3 linked regions of the Drosophila melanogaster genome follow. The protein of the gene in region 1 interacts with the protein of each later gene in a pairwise test. Each region holds a gene or a part of one and is shown on either strand. Other genes may lie near its edges. The genes, in order: CG10616, Rtel1 and kmr.

Region 1 (3,757 bases):
ATCGGGTGGAAAGAGGAGCGAGTGCAGAAATCTGGATGCGAAACGATATGGTTCAGCAGAATCACCTGGCGATAATGAGATGTCTCACTAAGCTGATCAGAACTGCCTTTGTATTTATTTGTCTGTTCGAATGCAAAGTGCACAATGCACCGAACACTCGTGCATATATGTTTCTTCGATTTGTGAAAGGCGAATCATGAATGAAACGCTGCTGACGATGACGTTCGAGTGCCCTCATGCCAGAGATCCAGAGCAAACGCAAACAATCGAACAGGAATAATTTACTAAGTAAATAATATCTGGATACCGATCGCTGCACGGTAAGAAATTGCGTAAACCGGTGACCCATATTGCTCAGCAACCAAAGAAACCTTTCAGCACTGAGATATTTTTCATTCCATTGTTTTCTGGGATAATTTAAAGTAACAGAATTATCTTCTTACAACATTTTTTTGTCTTAACTTGACAGTAAGAGTTCTTAATTAAAGTCTGAAATTTTTAAAAATATTTTTTACGATTTTTTTTTACTAGTTTACTCAAGATCTATAGCAATATTTAAAGAGTTGAATCAATGGTCTCTATGGAATAGTGTTATATATGGTATATACATATTTCGTAACCATTTGATCCCAATTTTGGCCAGTGTAATCCCCGCGAGTAGCGTGCGCCCTCGCCCCATCAAGTGGCACTTCAACAATCAAGCATTCACACAAGCAGATGGTCCGCAGCCGTTGGCGACCACCTAAATGAAATTTCATTTAGTTTTTTTTCGCCCGTCATCGCCGCCGCAATCGCAACCCGCTCCTCGAGATCTCCCCATCCATCGCAGTCCATCCAATCCATCCGTCCAGCGCAGAGTTCCAGCCCCAATCCCAATCCCAATTCCAATCCCAATACGGTCTCCTATTTGCTTATGCACACATTATCAACGTACGCCCGCCTTATGGAGTGTTTGTTTACCTAATTCGATTACCGATCGCGTCCGTTCGCGCCATAGTCCACCGGCCACTTGACCATTTGGGTGGCACGGATCCGTACTCATGGGGTCCGCTCTTCGGCCAGACGTCGTGCGTAATCGCCCCACGGCAGCTGATGCAGTGCAGCGGAATTGGGAGATGGAGATGGAGATTATGTTGCTGCTGGAGCCGGGGGCCTTAATTGAAGAACCTGCCACGGGGGTACATACATACATACTTTCATCGCTTTGCAGTCGCGGAGGTAAATTAAGTCTTAATATCCTAAGTCGAGTGTCTAAAGATTAGGAAAATAAACACTCAAGGACTTTATCGATTCGTAAAGAAAAATCAAAAGTAAACTGCAATTACATTTCAATAATAAACAACCCTATATCAAAGAGTCTTCTTTAAATTACTGCTTGTCAATTTCTTAAAATTAATAAATAAATCTATTCAATCATGTTCTAATTGATAAAAGTAAAGTGTGCCTATTCTCATAAAATTTGTATAAACATTCAGGGAGTTATTTAAATAAGGTATATTTACGTATTTATACGTATACAGTTATTGAATGTTATTTTTTTTTTTAAATGCCTCGCCAGGAGCTGTTAAACATATATATTATATTATCTAGATGTTGCACATGGTATTTGAAACACTTTTTAAATAAATCTTGGACAAACATGTAAAATTTAGTAGTTATTCTTAGTAAAAAAAAAGGGTAATGTTGTTTTATTAATTACACTTTTTAAAATTTCGAATATATTTTTAAATTTAACAGTTTTCTAGAGATGGCAAGCTTTTTTAAATAAACTTCGTTAAATATCGATAAGAATTTACCTCATAATCCATACTTTTAAAATATAACCTTCGGTCACACCAATTCATAGAGCTGGTGCGTATCGATAGTCGGCACATTCAAAATAAATAAATTCCCAAACACCATTTAATTAAGGTCAATGGACTTGATTGTGGCGTTATTTTTAAAATCCGAAAATAAATAGCAATTGAATTCAAATTTGAATAGCTTAGCACTATCGCTCACTATCGAAATTTAGCCTCGATAGCAAGTATTCGATTACAGCTACTATCGTGGGGGGTGTACCCAGCTCTAAAAATTTGTCATTTCGGAACGAATATAGTTAACATTAAATTTACGAAGTAAACAGAAACCCCAGAGCCACGATGCGCACAGTGCTGTTGAGCAAACACGACGAGCTGTACCTGGAGAAATGCGCACAGGAGAACCAGTTCTCGTACGGGATAATCGTGGGCCATGTAAGTGCCATCCGCCACGTAGATTTTGTTTGGTTCCCCCGCTCAACTGAATCTCCACTTTCTCCTGGTTTCATCCGCTTCGGTTGAAATAGCAAGCGGATCTCACCAAGAGCGTGGTGGTCCACCTGGCCAGGAACAACGAGGAGGATGCGGATCTGGAGGACCTGTCGGAGGTCCGGCTCACCATCTCGGACATCAACTCACAGGCATTGGCCTCCCAGTGGCTGAGCGCCAGCAAAATGTGTCCCGGATCTTTTGACGTCATCGGTGGGTTTGCGTGCTGCCCCTGCAGTTTTATCTGCCCTACCCAGAAATAATCATAGTCATAATGCTAAGGCATATTATTTATGGGGACCTTGTATTCCTCCCGTGGATTCGAAATTTAGCCAAACCCTTTTTTTTTGTATGTTTTGTATATGGGCTAACCCACCCAATTTGACTGTTTAATCTGTCAATTCGAAACTTTTGATCTTTCGTCATAGATAAATCTTTAAGCTATCAGTAATGGGTAGTGAAACCAGTAATGTAAACTTAGGTACTTAACTAAGATGAAAGTAAGCGAAGCTTTAGGACTTACCATCTAGAATTAATTATTAATGAATTATTTATCTTTGCAGGAATCTTTGTGTCTTCAGTAAGATCCGATGTAGTAAACGAACAGAGCGCCGAATTTAAGAATGCCAAAAAGCTGTTTTCAGATATTTACGAGTAAGTCACTAACTATATGAGTATGATATGAGTCTCCATTTGAAATGACCTCTTTTCTTACTTTTCCAGTTTGCTCCTGAAAAGCAACAGCTCGTTTGGCGTCTACACCACCGACATTGCACAGACTGATTTCGTATTCCTCTCGTATTCGCTGGCCGACAAGAAAGTGCTCTGCAAGAACTACAGCTATGGCAAGTGAGTATCGGAAACGTAATCCCTGATCACAGATACGGGTCTCAATGTGTATTCTTTCTTTCACCAAACGAATCGCTTACAATTTATAACTAGACATTGCAAAAAAACGTATTTTACGGCAAACATAAAATGCATCATATGGTAACTAAAAAGTTGAGAACTATGTACTTTCATAACTTATGTTCTATGTTCAATAATCACTTTCTTTGCTATCCTTGTCCTTGTGTTTCTTATTTCTTGGAATGCATTTTATGTGTTAGTTAACCATTAGGATTGTTCATGTTTATATGGTAGTTTGATTACATTCAGACTTTTCCTAGCCTAAATATAATATGAGTATTTCTTTTGATAGCGGCGGCACTTTCACCAATATGGAGTTCCGGTTTGTGGACAAACCCTTCGAGTGGATTCAGCTGGAGTGCAGCTACGATTTCGATGATGTGCTGCCCATACTGGACTCCTCGCGTCGCGTCAACATCGAAGACCAGTTCCAGAGTATGATAGTGTCGGTGCGCAAGAACCTGCTCGCCAGTGAAGTATTCCTCCAAAACGAAGTTGTCGAGGACACCATCGATCTGCAGGCCTATATCAAAAAGAAAAAGACGAAAGTGGACAAGCTG
Region 2 (3,757 bases), on another chromosome or scaffold:
CTAGTGTGCCGCTGGTCAGGATTACGCTGCGCACTTGGGTGTTGAGCAGTTGCTCCATTCCGAAGCCAGGATTGAAGCACCAGAAGTTAATGATTTTTGCGACCTTGCTTAAGCCAGTCGCTGCTGCAATCGTTCCCTTGCCAAGCCAACCGCCCTGCTGTTTAGCACCCTGCTGCTTACCGTGTCCCTGCTTGGACTCCTCCACCAGGACATGCACTTTGAAGCTTGCGTACACCTTGCTCATCACATCCTCCTTGTTGGCAAACACAATGGTCAGTAGATCGCTAAGCAACGTGAAGGTGCCGCCCTTGCGGATGCTCATCTGCTGGGAGGCCACTAGGAGGTATTGCACCAGTTTGTCCAGCAGGGATACTATCGTTGCAACGTTGCCGTAGGTGAACTACAATAAAGGAAGTTACATTTTTAAATAGGCATTCTTTTAAAAACATTTCCGATAAGATTTAGTGCATCTTACATTCGCCTTGCCAAGCAGTTCGTACATCATGGAGGCGGGAAAGGTAGTTCCATCGACGGCGTTGTCCACAACGATGGCATCGATGGCCTTTTCGAGCTCGAGCAGCATCTCCTTGAGCAGTGTAAGGTCGTCCAGTGTGAAGTCCTTTGGCTCATCTCCAGCCATATCCTGCGACTCGCCGCTCGCAAAGACTTGCATGATATGCGTGACGTCCTCGATGGCCATGGCCACATCAGAGGACTTAATCTGCACCGAAGCGGACTCCTCGCAGATCTTCTCGATGTTGTGGGCCTCATCCAGGATCACAATAGTGTTGCCCAGTTCGATTTTGTTGGCCTTGCGAGCCTTGGGATCGAGTAGATAATTGTAGGGCATGAAGGTGATATCCGCCTGGGGAACCAACTCCCGAGACGCGAAGTAGGGACAGATCTTGAGTCGCTGGCCCACCTTGACCAGGTCCTCAATGTCCATGATGGTGGGTCCGCGCAAATCGGGATGATCCTTTCGCGACTCAACGCGCATTTGAAATGAACAGGTCTTGGAGTGCACCCGTAGCTTGCACATGTTGGTCTTGTTGGAGTTGCCCTGCTCCCGCATGACCTCCGGATGAATGCATAGCTGATCGCGGGAGCCCAGAACCACGGATCTCATGTTAGCGTACGCTGTCCTCTTGAGTTCCCGCATCGCCTGCGTCAATTGGGAGTGGGTGCGCGAGGCGTAGATGACCTTGGGCACGCCCCAGTTATTCGCACGACCCATGGTCTTGGCCAGCTCGGACAGGTCTCCCCCAGGTGCTCCGCCTCCAAGACCCGAAAAATCTGCCTTCTCCATCTTAACCATCTGCTTTTGGTGCTCCGATTGCCTGGTGCGGATCCAGGCCAAGGATGAGCACAGCAAGCTTAGGGTCTTGCCCGTGCCGGTTGGCGATTCCAGGACTCCATTCGTGCCATCGCGGAGACAATGGATCACCTTCTCCATGTACGCCCGTTGAACCGGGTACGGCTCGAACGGAAAGTGCACCGGAATGCCGGCGATCAGGCTCTCCGGCATTATTCTTAATAATACTATTTATTTACTTGTTTACGCGCCAAATCGGAGTGAACATGTGTTCGTTGGTCGATAACAATAAATGTCTGTGTAGGTGGTCAGTTATCGCTATCGATAGAGTACAGTGGACCCTGATTAAGTAATTTTATAGCGTTATCTTGAACTCCGAGTCAAATGTTTACAACTTGCATGTCAAACCCTGCGTAGTTTATTTTAAACGTAATAGTAGTACTAATCACCACCCAAAGTGCTGCAATCGTGTTTATGGTACCTTATGGATAATAGTAACTGAAACTTATAAACTTATTAGCATTGGAGGGAATACTGTAGTTGTGATTCTGTTTATTTGGATCAAAGATTAACGATATAACATTTTAAGTGAATGTTATGGATTATACCAAACTAATGAACTAATGGCATTCAAGATTAAATGTGCAGCATACATATAAATCCCCTAACAAGGTAAGTAAATATTTGACATCAATTATTACAAACTCAGTTAATTCAACCACAAATCCATTTATCGTGACCCCTTCGCTCGGCTTTTCCGAATCGCCGCGATACGGCCCCACTGATTTGGCGCTTCTCGGCCACACCAAAAAAACACAGAACGGCATCAAATCATTCGAACTTTGAGAACGGTAGTGTTGTGTTGTTATTGCTCGGCAGCAAAGTAAAATCCGAAGAGAAGCGAGTCGAACAAGAGAAGAAGAAGCGCAGGAGTGGACGACAGCAATGCAACAACAGTGACGAGGCGCCAGTGTGCAAAAGTATGTGTGCGAGTGCGTGTAAGCAACAACTCCCCGATACAAACCTACGAGCGAGAGGGGGACGGCGATAGCGACGGTCGTTCGGTCGGTCGGTCCGACCGCTAGTCGCGTCTGTCGGTCGTTCTCGCCTATGCACCTCGGCGGCAGAGCGAAAGAGAGCGCACTCTGGCTGTGTGTGTGCGTGTGTGTTCTCGCTCTCTCGCGCGGTGGTGATAAATTTCTGTTGGCACAAAGTAAAAATATAACAGAATAAAAAATCGTGGCGCGGCATATAGAAGCTAATCGAAAATTATTGCGAGTATTGGGTGGAGGAGAAACATTCCTCTTCTTGTGAGTGCGTTTTTGTTTTAGTTATTCTTTTTTTTTTTTTTTTTGGCCGGAAACTCTCACTCGAAGATGCTGCCGGTGTAGTTGTGTATGAATGTTGTACCATTTTTTTTTTTTTTGAGATAGAAAATTTAGATCTAAAATATTAACCATGCGATCCTTAGAATCGCACTTTTAAAATATGTCCACACATTTTCAAATTCGAAAGCTTTGGCGGGCTGTCGATGGGCGGGCGCTTGCAACTCTGGCGATAACGATTACCGTGCCGATAACGCGGCTGCACTAATCAGCATTATCACATGCAAATTAAGGTCATCCAAATGAAAAATGACCACCAATCAAAGGCCCTGCACCCCTTTGCCGCCCCCCATTTATGCGAAACAACTAGAAAAAGTGTGTTTATTTCTTCACCGTTTTTCGAGCTCTGACAACCCTGCCGCTGCTGCATAAGTGAATTCCGACAAAGAGCCGTGTCATTTTGTTGGCCAAAACATCGCTGCGCCGAGATTAATTAGACGGAAAAAACTCGATTACTTGAAGTGCTCGGCCCTATATCGTTTTGGTTTAAACGTGTGTGTGAGCTTTGTGGATTGCCATCAAACACAATAGGCCGACTCGTCCCCCGCAGCCACCCGTACCATTCCAACACGTCGGAGCAGGGTTGCCAGATCAACGATAAATCACACACCGCTCGTTTAATACGAATTTTGTGTTGTTTTTACTTAAGACAAAATTTGTGAAACTTAATAGATATATTTTAATTTCCGCTCAACGTTATACCTGTCCGAAGTGGGGGTATCTGGCAACTACACCGAGCCGCGTGTGTGCGAATGTGTGTGTGCATGTCCATGTGCGCGAGTGTGCGTATGTGTTTGCGCTCTTATTCAAATAGAAATTGAATGTTTTGCACTCGAATTCAAGACAATTACGGCTCCTCCGGTAAAAACACATTTAGACTGGCTGACCTAATTTAAGGTGTAAGGATGTGGGTTACGCCTGCGATCGCCGAGTGATCGTTATCGTTATCCCGGCTTTGGTTAATCGCATTCCTCCTTCTCCTCCCCCTGGCATCGGCATCCACCACATCCCAACCCCCTTTCTCATTTTTCTCCTCCATCGCCCCTTCTTCGGCAGGCCA
Region 3 (3,757 bases), on another chromosome or scaffold:
CAACAGCAACAACAACAACAAACAAAGGCCAGACGAAATGCATGGCATAAACTTTGCCAACTTGGCTGGCTGCAATTGTAGTTTGTGATGTGGATGTGGATCTGGATGTTGCTCTTCCTGGTGGTTGGGGTTGATGTTGGGGCGGCTTTGATGGCATCAAAGTGAGCTTGTCGTTGTGCAGACAAATGTTACGTACTCTCGTCACACTCTTACGTATGCAAATGTCCCTTGCCATTGCCGGCGCAATGCTGCAGTGCGTCCTCCACAATTGACAATTGTTGAAAATGCAAATGGAAATGGAAATGCCAAGACATGTGCCCAACAGCCACACCAGCAATTCATACATATGCCATGGATAATGGATACTGGGCGCACTGGAGGTGTGTTGGGGGTGGCATGCGGCGCATTGAGGTAAAGACAAATGCAAAGGCGTTGTCTCTACTATCATCATCCGGCGACGACATCTCCTCAGATAAGATAAACGATGGCAAAGTCAACAGCAACAACTGGTTGGCTACGAAATGCACTGCAAGAAAATGCAATGAAGTATGCTAAATACACTTGGCATGAATTTAATCTATTGCTATTGTTGAAAAGTGTGAAATGAATATTCTTAACCAGTGTCTTACATAACATTTCTGTATTTTGTTGTATTATAAAACGAAATACAAATAGTTTAATCAAATTTAATTATATAATATTATTTTATTATTACTTTTTGATATGAGTACTTGACATTTTTCTGAGTGCATGTGGGAGAGGTCAGTGTAAATAAGTAAATACGACATTCGTAGCCCAGAGCAGGCCGAAATAAATTCTCAAGTGCAAATGAGGTAAATGACAAGAGGTACGAAACCATCATAACCTCTGACCTGCCACCGATCCCCCCTCCACCAACGAGCGACCCATAAACGCCCACTTTGCCGAGCATTTGACAGTCGAGAGCAAACATGTCCAAGATGAACATCCATTTTGCATTTGGGAAATGAAAAGCGGGAAAGCTACAACTGACGTACATACTAGCATACTAGCAGACAGCTTGTCTATGCAGCAGGCCATCGCCATCCAATCCATCTGGGCGTGCAAATGTATCTGTATCTGCTATCCAGTATCTGGCGCTCGTATCTATTCCGCCTGTCGTCTCGTCCGCCTTTTGCAGCTTCATCAAATATTTAGCGCCAGGCAGGCGGCTTTATCTCGAGGGAACTGGAAGGAGGGACAAATAAGCGCATTCATTGTGTTCGTTCAGTGTAAATACGAAACGGATGTAGCACTGCTTGGAAAATAACAACTTTGTAAACTTAAGAGCCTAACTCGACTAGTTTGGTACTGTAGAAATATGAAAAAAAGGAAAAACTATTGTACACAGCTATTTGTAAATATCCTCGATGGATAAATTTATATAAAAAAGTTAAGACTTAAGACATACTGTGTACCTTTATTCAAACTAAAACATTTATACCATATATAATAGATACCAAGAATATTCCAGAGATTTCTCTTGATATAGAATTTCTGAATTTCTGAATGAATGGCGTTGTTTTATGTGCAGCTTCTTTTTGGTAATTTCATCGATTTACCAATTTATCACTTTCCTGCGGGCAATCACTTGTTTTGTTAGTTTTCCTTGAGTACTTTTGTCCACTGCACTTAATAGCATCGTTTTAAAATGTGAAAAGGGAAAAGTTTGCGAGCTGTCCAATCACTAATGAATTAAACAAACATTGAGGGCATCGACGTTATTTCTCGTTGAAACGCAAATTTAATAAACCACCCACACCTATGAAAAAACCACCGAAACGCAATATACCCCTGCAGCAGATGCTATCTGGAGAGCAGTCCGAACTACCCTAGTCAAAATGGAAAATTGGGAGTGTGGGGCAGTGCCAACGACCAGCCAAAAAGCCGGCAACAACAAACGCCCGCGCTGTACCACGCCGGCAACATGTTGCGTGTTGCTGCCGTGCGAGCAACATTGCAATGTTTGCACTCGCGTGTGTCGGTGTGTGTGCGTGTTGTTTATCTCGCTGCCACTTGAAATGTTGCCAAGAAGCCGGCCAGCAACATTAGCAGCATTTCGAAAACTTGTTTTCAACGTAGTTGGGTTTAGTTTACTTTGAGACGGCGACGCAGGTGGACGTGTCCGAGTGCGAGCGAAAGAGAGCGATAAACGCGAGCGGACCGCGTTATAAAATATTACAAAAACAACAACAACAACAACGCCAACAAGAGCTCAGTTCATTTCAGTGTTTGTCTTTAGTTTTATGGCGCACGCTGCGCGTCAGGTAGTTTTTCAGTTGTATATATGTACGTATGTACATATAATGTTTTTTTGTGATTCGTCTCGCGGCAATGTTTTATGGCTGACAAAACCATCGAGCGTGTAAAGGTTTTGCACTAACCGTACGACGAAAAAGAGGAAAAAAAAAAGAAGTGATGTACATTCTACGAGTAGATGTAAAGTGCTAGTGTTTACCCTTTTTTGCCGGGATTACTCATCATCGCATCGGCGCATCATCGACACCATCATTATCATTCGTTTACTAGCGGGCAACTTTACGAAATCCCAAAAAACCAGTATCGCTGTGCCCAAGTATCTGCAAGATACGTGAGGCAGTCCAGACCACATATTGGAATTTACTTAACACGTATGCAACACGCACCCATACCAGTTAACATCGAGCGGGACCCATTGGATTTTGGAACCGAAAACTACAGGGTAGGTAAAATCGCTTGTAAATCGGGGTTTCTTCTCGAGAAAAACAAGAGACGCGAAGCAAACACTCACACACTTGACCAGCTGCGTTTTTCCACCCTCACCATAAAACCTAATGATTCCGAACTACCTGTTTTTGGATTGACCCTGGTTTTCCCATTAGCCGCCAGAGGAGATTTCACTGCACCAGCGCATACCATATAGTCCATATATCGGAAAGCTGTGCGGCTATTTATAAATCTAGATACCCTGCGTTTTGGGGCCCAGGCTCAAATCCGGTTTTCCATACCCATATATCCCCCAGCCCAGCCCAGCCATCAATTCAATTTCTACTGGCTGAGTGAGTTTTTAACTCACAGAAGAATCTCCATCTCCAGGTCGAGCATCTTCTTCGCTGAAGATTTCTGAAGAGAGCTGGTTTCTTCGGGCCGTTTTCTTTTCCCTCGCTTTGTTTTCTTTCGTTTCGTTTTCGTTTTTTACTATTTGCCCGATCGTCGTGGTGATCATGATGCTGTGGCTTATTGCCGCCAAGATTTTTTCCACTTTTTTTTTTTTATGATTTTGCTTTTTGCCGATTGAAGGTGCATGGCCTTATTTACCCAGTTTCCAAATCGCTCACCGATTTCTGCTTATTCTGTTTTGGGCTTTGTTTTGAGGTATTTGCTGAATCACACGGGGATCATTTGAATCTTTTAGCCAGACAGTCACTGTGTGGAATTGCGATTGGGATTTTATTTGAGAGTCACACCCAGTCCGTGGCGAATGAGCTAGTATCCCGCTCCGGAATTGACTCACGGCCAAACAATGCGACATGCGGCGAAGTGCTGTGGGGCCACGCTGGCTTGGGCAAAAGAGAAAAAATCAAAAATGCAAAACTTGTTGCTAATAAACAACAATTACAGCAAAAGCAAAAACAAGTTCAGCTAACCACAAAAATGCTGGCAGCTAAACTCTAGACTCGTTGCCCAGGAGCTCCGCCGCACTCCACTACACTCCACTCACCAAAACAAGTCGGTGTATGGAGCCATTTTCTGATGTTGC

Evidence for each region.
Region 2: the proteins of CG10616 (region 1) and Rtel1 interact in a two-hybrid assay, tested with the Drosophila melanogaster proteins (one large-scale study listed by BioGRID).
Region 3: the proteins of CG10616 (region 1) and kmr interact in a two-hybrid assay, tested with the Drosophila melanogaster proteins (one large-scale study listed by BioGRID).

Annotation. Positions count from the first base shown.
Region 1 is NT_037436.4:12,469,696-12,473,452, forward strand, and holds the start of CG10616 (uncharacterized protein), read left to right. Parts: upstream 1-2,032; 5' UTR 2,033-2,141; coding exon 2,142-2,234; intron 2,235-2,326; coding exon 2,327-2,501; intron 2,502-2,851; coding exon 2,852-2,942; intron 2,943-3,011; coding exon 3,012-3,137; intron 3,138-3,230; coding exon 3,231-3,278; intron 3,279-3,489; coding exon 3,490-3,757. UniProt on the Drosophila melanogaster protein: May play a role in the trafficking of a subset of G-protein coupled receptors.
Region 2 is NC_004354.4:5,745,637-5,749,393, reverse strand, and holds the start of Rtel1 (regulator of telomere elongation helicase 1), read right to left. Parts: upstream 1,648-3,757; 5' UTR 1,526-1,647; coding exon 476-1,525; intron 401-475; coding exon 1-400. UniProt on the Drosophila melanogaster protein: A probable ATP-dependent DNA helicase implicated in DNA repair and the maintenance of genomic stability. Acts as an anti-recombinase to counteract toxic recombination and limit crossover during meiosis.
Region 3 is NT_033777.3:13,713,101-13,716,857, forward strand, and holds the start of kmr (kramer), read left to right. Parts: upstream 1-2,106; 5' UTR 2,107-2,719; intron 2,720-3,757.